2 linked regions of the Caenorhabditis elegans genome follow. The protein of the gene in region 1 purifies or fractionates together with the protein of each later gene. This does not show direct contact. Each region holds a gene or a part of one and is shown in the gene's direction. Other genes may lie near its edges.

Evidence for each region.
Region 2: the proteins of hecw-1 (region 1) and dhc-4 fractionate together in Caenorhabditis elegans (co-fractionation; one large-scale study listed by BioGRID). This does not show direct contact.

What each region holds. Positions count from the first base shown.
Region 1 is NC_003281.10:3,388,010-3,391,931, reverse strand, and holds the start of hecw-1 (E3 ubiquitin-protein ligase hecw-1), read left to right. Parts: upstream 1-2,010; 5' UTR 2,011-2,014; exon of another isoform or gene 2,015-2,038; intron 2,039-2,303; exon of another isoform or gene 2,304-2,400; intron 2,401-3,048; 5' UTR 3,049-3,053; coding exon 3,054-3,133; intron 3,134-3,184; coding exon 3,185-3,397; intron 3,398-3,922. Other genes in the region: elmd-1 (ELMO domain-containing protein C56G7.3), read right to left, coding at 175-251, 712-1,308, 1,933-2,010.
Region 2 is NC_003281.10:10,967,666-10,971,587, forward strand, and holds the start of dhc-4 (Dynein heavy chain linker domain-containing protein), read left to right. Parts: upstream 1-2,278; coding exon 2,279-2,312; intron 2,313-2,679; coding exon 2,680-2,968; intron 2,969-3,012; coding exon 3,013-3,146; intron 3,147-3,355; coding exon 3,356-3,455; intron 3,456-3,511; coding exon 3,512-3,634; intron 3,635-3,905; coding exon 3,906-3,922.

The sequences.
Region 1 (3,922 bases):
AATTAAAATAAGTTTTTGCCAGTTCTGTGAATTTTTGGTATAATATCTTTTAAACAATTTTTTTTCAAACTTTTAGGAAAATGCCATGTTTCTTGTGTGCTGTTTTTTTTTCTTTTCAAAAAAAACCAAGTGGCACGAGAAACGCGTCAGCAAGCGCCCTTTGCGCAGACTTACTTATCAAGAGCTCCTTTCTTCAGTTGTGTTAATAAAATACTCGTAATATTGATTGAAACAACGGCAAGTGGGAAATCCTGGAAAATTTTCTATTGGTTTTTTAAAAAAGTGCACGGAGCGCGATTGCATTGAAACATTTTTTTGCCAAAAATACGGTATCTGGTCTCGACACGACAATTTTTTGTTAAATACGAAAGGGTGTCCGCCTTTAAAAAGTACTGTAGTTTCAAACTTTCGTTACTGCAAAATTTTAATCGTTTTTTTAAATAGTTTTTCGATAATAAAAAATTCTTTATTGAAAAAACTCAAATGTAACAATAAAAACACATAAAATTCGCGAAAATTCTGCTGAAACAAAAGTTTGAAACTATAGTACTATTTAAAGGCGCACACCATTTCTCATTTAACACAAATTCGTCGTTTCGAGACCGGACACCGTATTTTTGATAAAAATTGCAAATTTTCCGAATTGAAACTGTCAAAATTGCAAGCGCGCTCTATTACAACTTTTTTCAAAAATCCCAATAAAAAACTAACATTCGGTTCAGTAGTGGCAAGAAGTACAATTGCTCGAAGTAAATTCGCCGGTACTCTCTGCGTAAAAGTGTGCATTTGAAGTAGGCCAAGAACTCCGCAACCTCGAAAATCCGTGTGCGGTGTCGCCGACTGAAAGCCTACAGTAACCCAATGCGCGCCAACACGTGACGGATTAGTGACGTGAGAGTATTCTGATGACGTCATCAGGGATCTTGAAACATTGTTAAAGTAGTCCGAGAGGAGAAGCCAGTGTGTTCCGTTTTCATGATCATAGGGTATTTGAGCGAGTTTTAAAATTAGCGTTTTATCCGTATAGGCTTTCGGGCCCATTTGTGATTTTACAGGCCTGCACAGACAAACGTCAATTATCCGATTGAATGTTGATCGATTATCGATTGATTCCCGGGAAACTACTTGTACTTCTGGATCTGTGACGTCATCGGTGGGCGTGGCACTTGGTGGTGCGTTGGACGATGACGTGGCAATTAGAAGGGGGTAGAGGTCTTGAAGAGAAGTTTCTGGGGCGACGGCAACTGTGGGGGAGCCTGGCTCACGGGTTACATCCATTTTGAGAGCGTCTGCGCCTTTTAGCTCGATCTGGAAAATTTAAATTTCACAAAAAAATCTCCAGATTTCAAGGAAATTCTAGTTTTTTTCTTTTTTTCTGCCATCAGGCTTCTAAAAATTTATTTTCTAATTTTCCTACAGTAAATTTAAAGGCGCATACACAATGTTTGTATAAAATACATTTTCCACTGTGATACCCATCCACATTTTCTGTGTATGCGCCTTTAAGTTTACAGTACGAAAATTCGAGTGTTTAAAAGTTTTTTTTAGTTTTTTGAAATTAAACTTTCAAAAAATTTAATCTCTAATTTTCCTACTGTAAATTTAAAGGCGCATACACAATATTCGTCAAAAATTAATTTTTCGCTGTTAGACCCATCCACATTTTCAGTGCATGCGCCTTTAAGGTTACAGTAGGATAAATTGATTTATTTGTTTCTTGGTTTATTTACAAAATTCTAGAATTTTTTTGGGAAAAATTTGTTTCGCAAAAACTCAAAAAATATTCAAAAGCTTTCGCTGATATCGATTTTTAAGCGAAACATTAAAATTTCTATGATTTTTCGTATTTAAAATTTAAAAATTAAAATTAAACTTTAGAAAATCTATTAAAAACGTGAAACACTTTTGAAAAATAATTTTAAAAATACGTACCTCACACCACTCGTCCAAAACTCGCATTCTTTCTTTTCGCCATTCATCTTGCTCCGTTTCCAACGGCTCTGCTTCCATCCTGGTAATTTTTAAGTTTAAATTAATCAATTTTCAGAACATAAAATTCGATGTAAAGTGAAAAGTACATGAAGTTGATGTAAAGCGTGTTTCTAAATGACTGGCGTGTTGTGCGAGAGGGTGTGTTGGGATGAGAGAGTGCTGAGAAAATGAACCAAAAGAGAAGAGAGACGCAGGACGTTTTGTAGTTGGAGTCTAAGTACATGTTACCCCTCTTCCAGTAGAAACTGACAGCTGGGGTTTAGAGTAAAGGAGTGGTGGTGGACGAATAAAACGTTGAGTTGTGTTTATTTAAAAAAAATAAAAAACATAAGCCCAATGCGGGGCTCGAACCCGCGACAACCAGATTAAGAGTCTGGTGCTCTACCGACTGAGCTAACCGGGCGGCGGAAACATTGCAAAAAAGTGGCCTAGAGAAGACGCAGGCATTTCGTTGCTAAAGTGTTGTGAATCGATGAAATTTAAAAACCACCGTACGCGCGAGTACGGTAGCTGCTAAAGTTTCGATCGTGGCAAGACCCGCGCGTTTAATAACGCACTTTCTCGTGGACATATACAATTTCTAGTATACGTTCACTTATAAATCATTTATCGGACGAGGTTTCGAATTACTAAACCAATTTCTGCATAGAAAATCAAGAAATTTGAAAAAAATCGATTTTCTGTAAACTATAAAGCCAAAAGCTAAGCGAAAGTTAAGAAAATAGCAAGAAAGAAAATAGGAAAAGCCTCTTTGTTACCATAGTGATACGTATAGCGATAGAGAGAGAGATGCTGAGAGCTGAAGAGAAAAAGAGAAAAAAAACAAATATAATACGTGCAGTTTTAATCGATTTCCTAGTATTGCCACGCCATCTCTTTATTCACGTCTATGTCACTATTTTTCCGGGATTTCAAAATTTTTTGAAAAATGGAAAATCATATATTCCATATGAAGTATGATCTACAAAACTCGCGGCAGATTTGCGATGACGTGACGTCATGTATTTTTTCCAAAATCCTGCGATTCCTGGAGATCAAGCCAAATGTTTATTTCAGATACTATGGGAGACGAGTTCCCATTTCACCATCTGGGATATGTCTGCCTGAATGAGATCTATAAACACTTGACCTTGAAAGAAATGTAAGAAATTTTCAGAAAAAAAAACCCGAAAAACCCCCCGAAAATTTGCAGATTCCAGTTATCATTTTCCTCTAATCAAATCAAACGTTCTCTTGGAATTGCGAGTATTCCTGTTAAATCAATTTTTGTCAATTTTGACTCTCAATACCCGAAGATTAAATTGATTGGAGAGAGTAGTCAACTGGAATGGGTTTTTGGAATTCCTGATGGTCTGGAATACACTGATGTCGGGGTTTATAAGATTGGGCATTTTAAATTTCAGTGGTGAGTACTAATTGTCAACCCATGAGGTGTCGGGCGCTCAAACTCTGGTCAGACTGGAGTTAGGCAAAATGTGTCGAGAGTCAAAATGCACACCTAAATAAGGTTATAATTTTGTCAATTGACACTATTATGAAATCTCGACTCTGGACAAAGTTATAGCAGCCGACATCTCACTGGTCTCAATTTTCAAAAATCCCCTGTGAGGTGTCGGTTGCTTTAATCTTGTTTGGAGTGGAGTTAGACAAAAGTTGTCAAGAAACAAAATGCAGATCTCATCAAGACTATCAATTTGTCAGTTGATACTAACCTGATATCTCTACTCTGGACAAAGTTATAGCGGCCGACATCTCACAGGCCTCAGTTGCCTAGTCAACTCATGAGGTATCGGCCACTGTAACTCTATGAAGAGTGGAGTTCGACAAAAGGTGGCAATAAACAAAATACGCACCGAAATAAGGTTAGCATTTTGTCAATTGACGTAACCTGATATCTCCACTCTGGACAAAGTTATAGCGGCCGACATCT
Region 2 (3,922 bases), 7.6 Mb from region 1:
TTTTTGGAAAATGTCATACATTTATTGTAAATCGCCTGATGTAGTAAAAATCTGTTATTGGTCATTGTTTTTTATCACAAATCTTCATTTTCAGGGTCAGGATCGGTCACAGTTCAAAGATTGAGAATCTTCTTCTTGAAATGAGCAGAATCTGCATACGGCCAGATCTTCTTCGCCATTTGCATCTTTGTCGCCACCTTGTAATCATTCGGAGCTCTCTTCTCACTGATCGACAGAGCCGTGAACATCTCCTCAACACCGCCCTTCCCAAGCTCCCACTCGAATCGGCCAAAGAACGATCCACGGACTCTCTTGAAACCGGCAAAGCACTCGCTCCACAGGCCGAAATAATCCGGGCGGCTCTTGTATTCCAGTGTCTCCAGGTACTTGTGAATATTCGCAAATTCCTTGGGACACCCTTTCAACAAAGTTTCCATGGAGCATGCAATCTTCGCGTCCATAATCTCCTTCTCATCGGTCAGTCGGCGCCACGGGAGCCCACAATGAAGCTCGATGAGCATGTAGAGCCACGACCAGAGATCATCGACGCGTCCGATTGTGAACGTTCATGCTGCAGTATCGAGGAGTTCCACGGAAGAGTTGCTCGCCGGCTCGAGCTCTGCGGAGTGCGGCCTCTCCGTTCTCTCGTTTGGCGGTGAATTGGCGGACCATGCCTGAACAAAGTGTGGTGTGATTTTTCAGCCAAAAATACGGTTTCGGGTCTCGACACGACGAACTTGTGTGTCGGGTGCGACAAGGCTTTTAAGATTACTTTAAATCAGGGGTGTGCGGCAAATCTCAAAATTTGCCGAGCTCGGCAAACTCGGAAAAATTTGATACATTTTGATGTTTTTTGGAGCACCAAAACTACTGAATTCTTAACACTCATCTGGTTTCTGAATAAGTTCAGTGTAGTATGTCTGCTTAAGCATCAAAATAACTCAATTTTGTGTCATTTTACTAAATTTTTGGCGAAAAAATCAATGGTTTTAGTCAAAATTGCACTGTCAATTTTTTGACGTGTGCGGCAAATTTCGAAATTTGCCGAGCTCGGCAAACGGCAAATTCGGCATATTCGGCAAATTTGCCGCACACCCCTGCTTTAAATCCCAGTTTTTCATAATCTACGCTTTTTTCGAGAAGAAAAGCAACAGAGAGAAAAACTGAAAGTTACAGTACTCATTTAAAGGCACACACCGTTTCGCCTTGAACAAAATATTGTCGTGTCGAGACCCGATACCGTAGTTTTAAAGCGAAAACACCTTCAAAAAAATTACCATAGTCAATAAGATAGACGTTTTTAGCGTCACTCCCATGAACTCCGGTCACACAATTTCCCGGCTTAATATCCCGATGAGTGAATCCCACTTCATGAATCTGTTTGATAGCGAACAAAGTGGCCATCGCGAGACGAAGAGTCGTCTGCTCACAGAATCTCGGAGTGTTCGCATCCCGTTTATGAGCCATCAGATCCTTCCCAAGAAGTGTCATCACGATGAAACAATACGATGTTCGATCGCCAGCATCCATCAATCTTGCACAAAACGGCAGTGGAGCCAGTGATTTGAGCACGTGAGCCTCCAGCTTCAGAATACCTCCGTCACTCACGTCCCCCTCGACCTTCATTGCGGCGTACGTCTGGAAGCGGGTCAGGTCTCGGACTTTGAACACTGCACCCATACCACCTTCGCCGAGTTTTTCAACGATTTTCCAACGCTTTGCGATTATCTGAAATTGAGGGAAATTGTGAATTTCCTGCTTCACAGAAACTCACTTTTCCTTCTTTGATCGCTTGAATTTCTTCCATACTGATTCTGATCACGAAATCGATTGGAACTGATTTGCTAATAGAGAAATGAATCCTTTTGGAATTTTGAAATACATTTTTTCAAAATTCAATTTTTTTAATTAAAAAAAGTTGATTTTTATATATTTTTCACGTTAAAAGTTCAAAGCGCAATCAAAACTAAAATAAAATGAATGCATATAAAACACATTTTTTATTGAAAAAAGTAAGATCTATAAAATGTACTGGATACCCCAGTTTTTTTTTCAAATTTATTAATCAGATCAAGGGTAGGCGGCAATTGCCGTTTTGCCGGTTTGCCGATTTGCCGGAAATTTTCACATTTAATGTATTACTATTATAATTAAAATTCCATGTGCTTATTCCTAATTTTCCCACTAACCTGATTTCCGGTCCAACGTTTCTGCTTGAACGCCTCTGAGCCCGGGGGTGCTCCACAGGTCTCATTTTGCTCCGAGCCGCCCGTTACTAATGCCGAATCTACTGGAAAAAGAGCATTTCAAGCGTAAGTACTCTTTACTATGGAACTTTTGAGTTTTCGGCAACTGGGAAATGAAAACAAATTGTCGATTAAAAATTATTTGGAGTTATCACAAATTTGGCATTTTAGAAATCTCAGATTTTTGCACAAGTTTTTTTTTAATTTTTGGATTTTTTGCAACTTGAAAATTTAAAAGTTGGCAAAAAACTTCGTGAATAAACGTTTTAAAAGTTTCTGAAACTGGAAGTTTTGGCAGAAGCTCGGTAAACCAAAATTTGCCGATATTCAAACTGTAATAGCAAAAATCTTGAAATTTTTAAGATTTTCGACATGTCTACATCTTGAAAATTTCAAAATTCCAACAATTTTAAAAAAACCCAAAATTTTTCAGTCCGAAAGCACACCCGCTACCTGACAATCCACCGAGTCGTTGAGCAGAAAAGTTGGCATCAACTTGCCTACGAGGACCGGCTCCGGCGGGAAAGCCGAAAAATCCCAAAAATCTGTCGTAAACAATTCCTAAAATGGCACGTTGAGCAACAGGAGGCCAAGAAAAAATTCCGGCGGCTCCGCGAAAAAAATCGCGATGAGAGCATTTATGTGGCCAAGTTATGGTACTACGTGCTCAAGAAGCATCCATTGAAGCCACGTGTTGAATGGAGTTTTCAGAGGGTTCATAAGTAAGTCAAAGTATTCGAGAGGAGTACAAAATCGAGTTTTCCAGGTTGAGCCCGAAAAACGAGAGAATTGCTCAAGAACTGGAGGAGCTCATGGATTGTGCGGAAAGATACGCGTTGATAGAAAACGTGGCAGATGGGTATCAGAAAAGAGTAAAAGATGAGCTCGCAAGGTTGAATAGTGAGTTGACATAGTGGTTTTTGCTACATGGCCTAGAAAACGCAAAACTCGGCCAGCAATTTATCTTTGATTTATCATGTCACATCTTTCTGAAACATTTTGAACATTGACTTGCGATTGTTTTAAGGGCGATGGCCGAGTTTTTTATATCGCGGCCACGTAGAACCAATTGCTCTGAAAGGCTTGAAGCTGTTGAACTTTATTTTCAGAAATCGAAAAATACCATCATCACGTCAAAAACAACCGTGAAATTCTTCTTCGATCCCAGTCATTAGCCGCAATGAAAATTCGCATATTTTTCGAAAATCGGTATTTAAAATTCTAAAATTCTAAAATTTATCGGCAACTCGAAAAATCAATTTCAGAAAAGGATTAATATTCGAAGTCAACGAGCTAATTGACCCGGAAGTCGGAAATATTCCAATCAAAAAATTCCGAGAGGTTACTCTGACGAAGGTCCTGGAATTCTCACAGGAAATCAATATGAAGTGAGTTGCTAGTAAGGCTCCCATGGGCCTGACGCCTGCTTGAAATCTACCCGCCTCACTCCGGCCTTTCGCCTATTTTCTGCATTTTGACGTGAATTTTCTGATTCCTATCAATTTTTGAAAATCAAATGTTCTTGTGAACTTCAGCATAAGGCGCGTATTGAGGCGAGAGGCAGGCGTAGGTCGCCTTAAGGTCTGGCAGACAGGTGTTTTAAAACCTTCATGGAAGCTCTAGTTGCCAGGCATCGCCGAAAGTTGCACATTTTTCCAGGTTGCTCAAAAAGAATT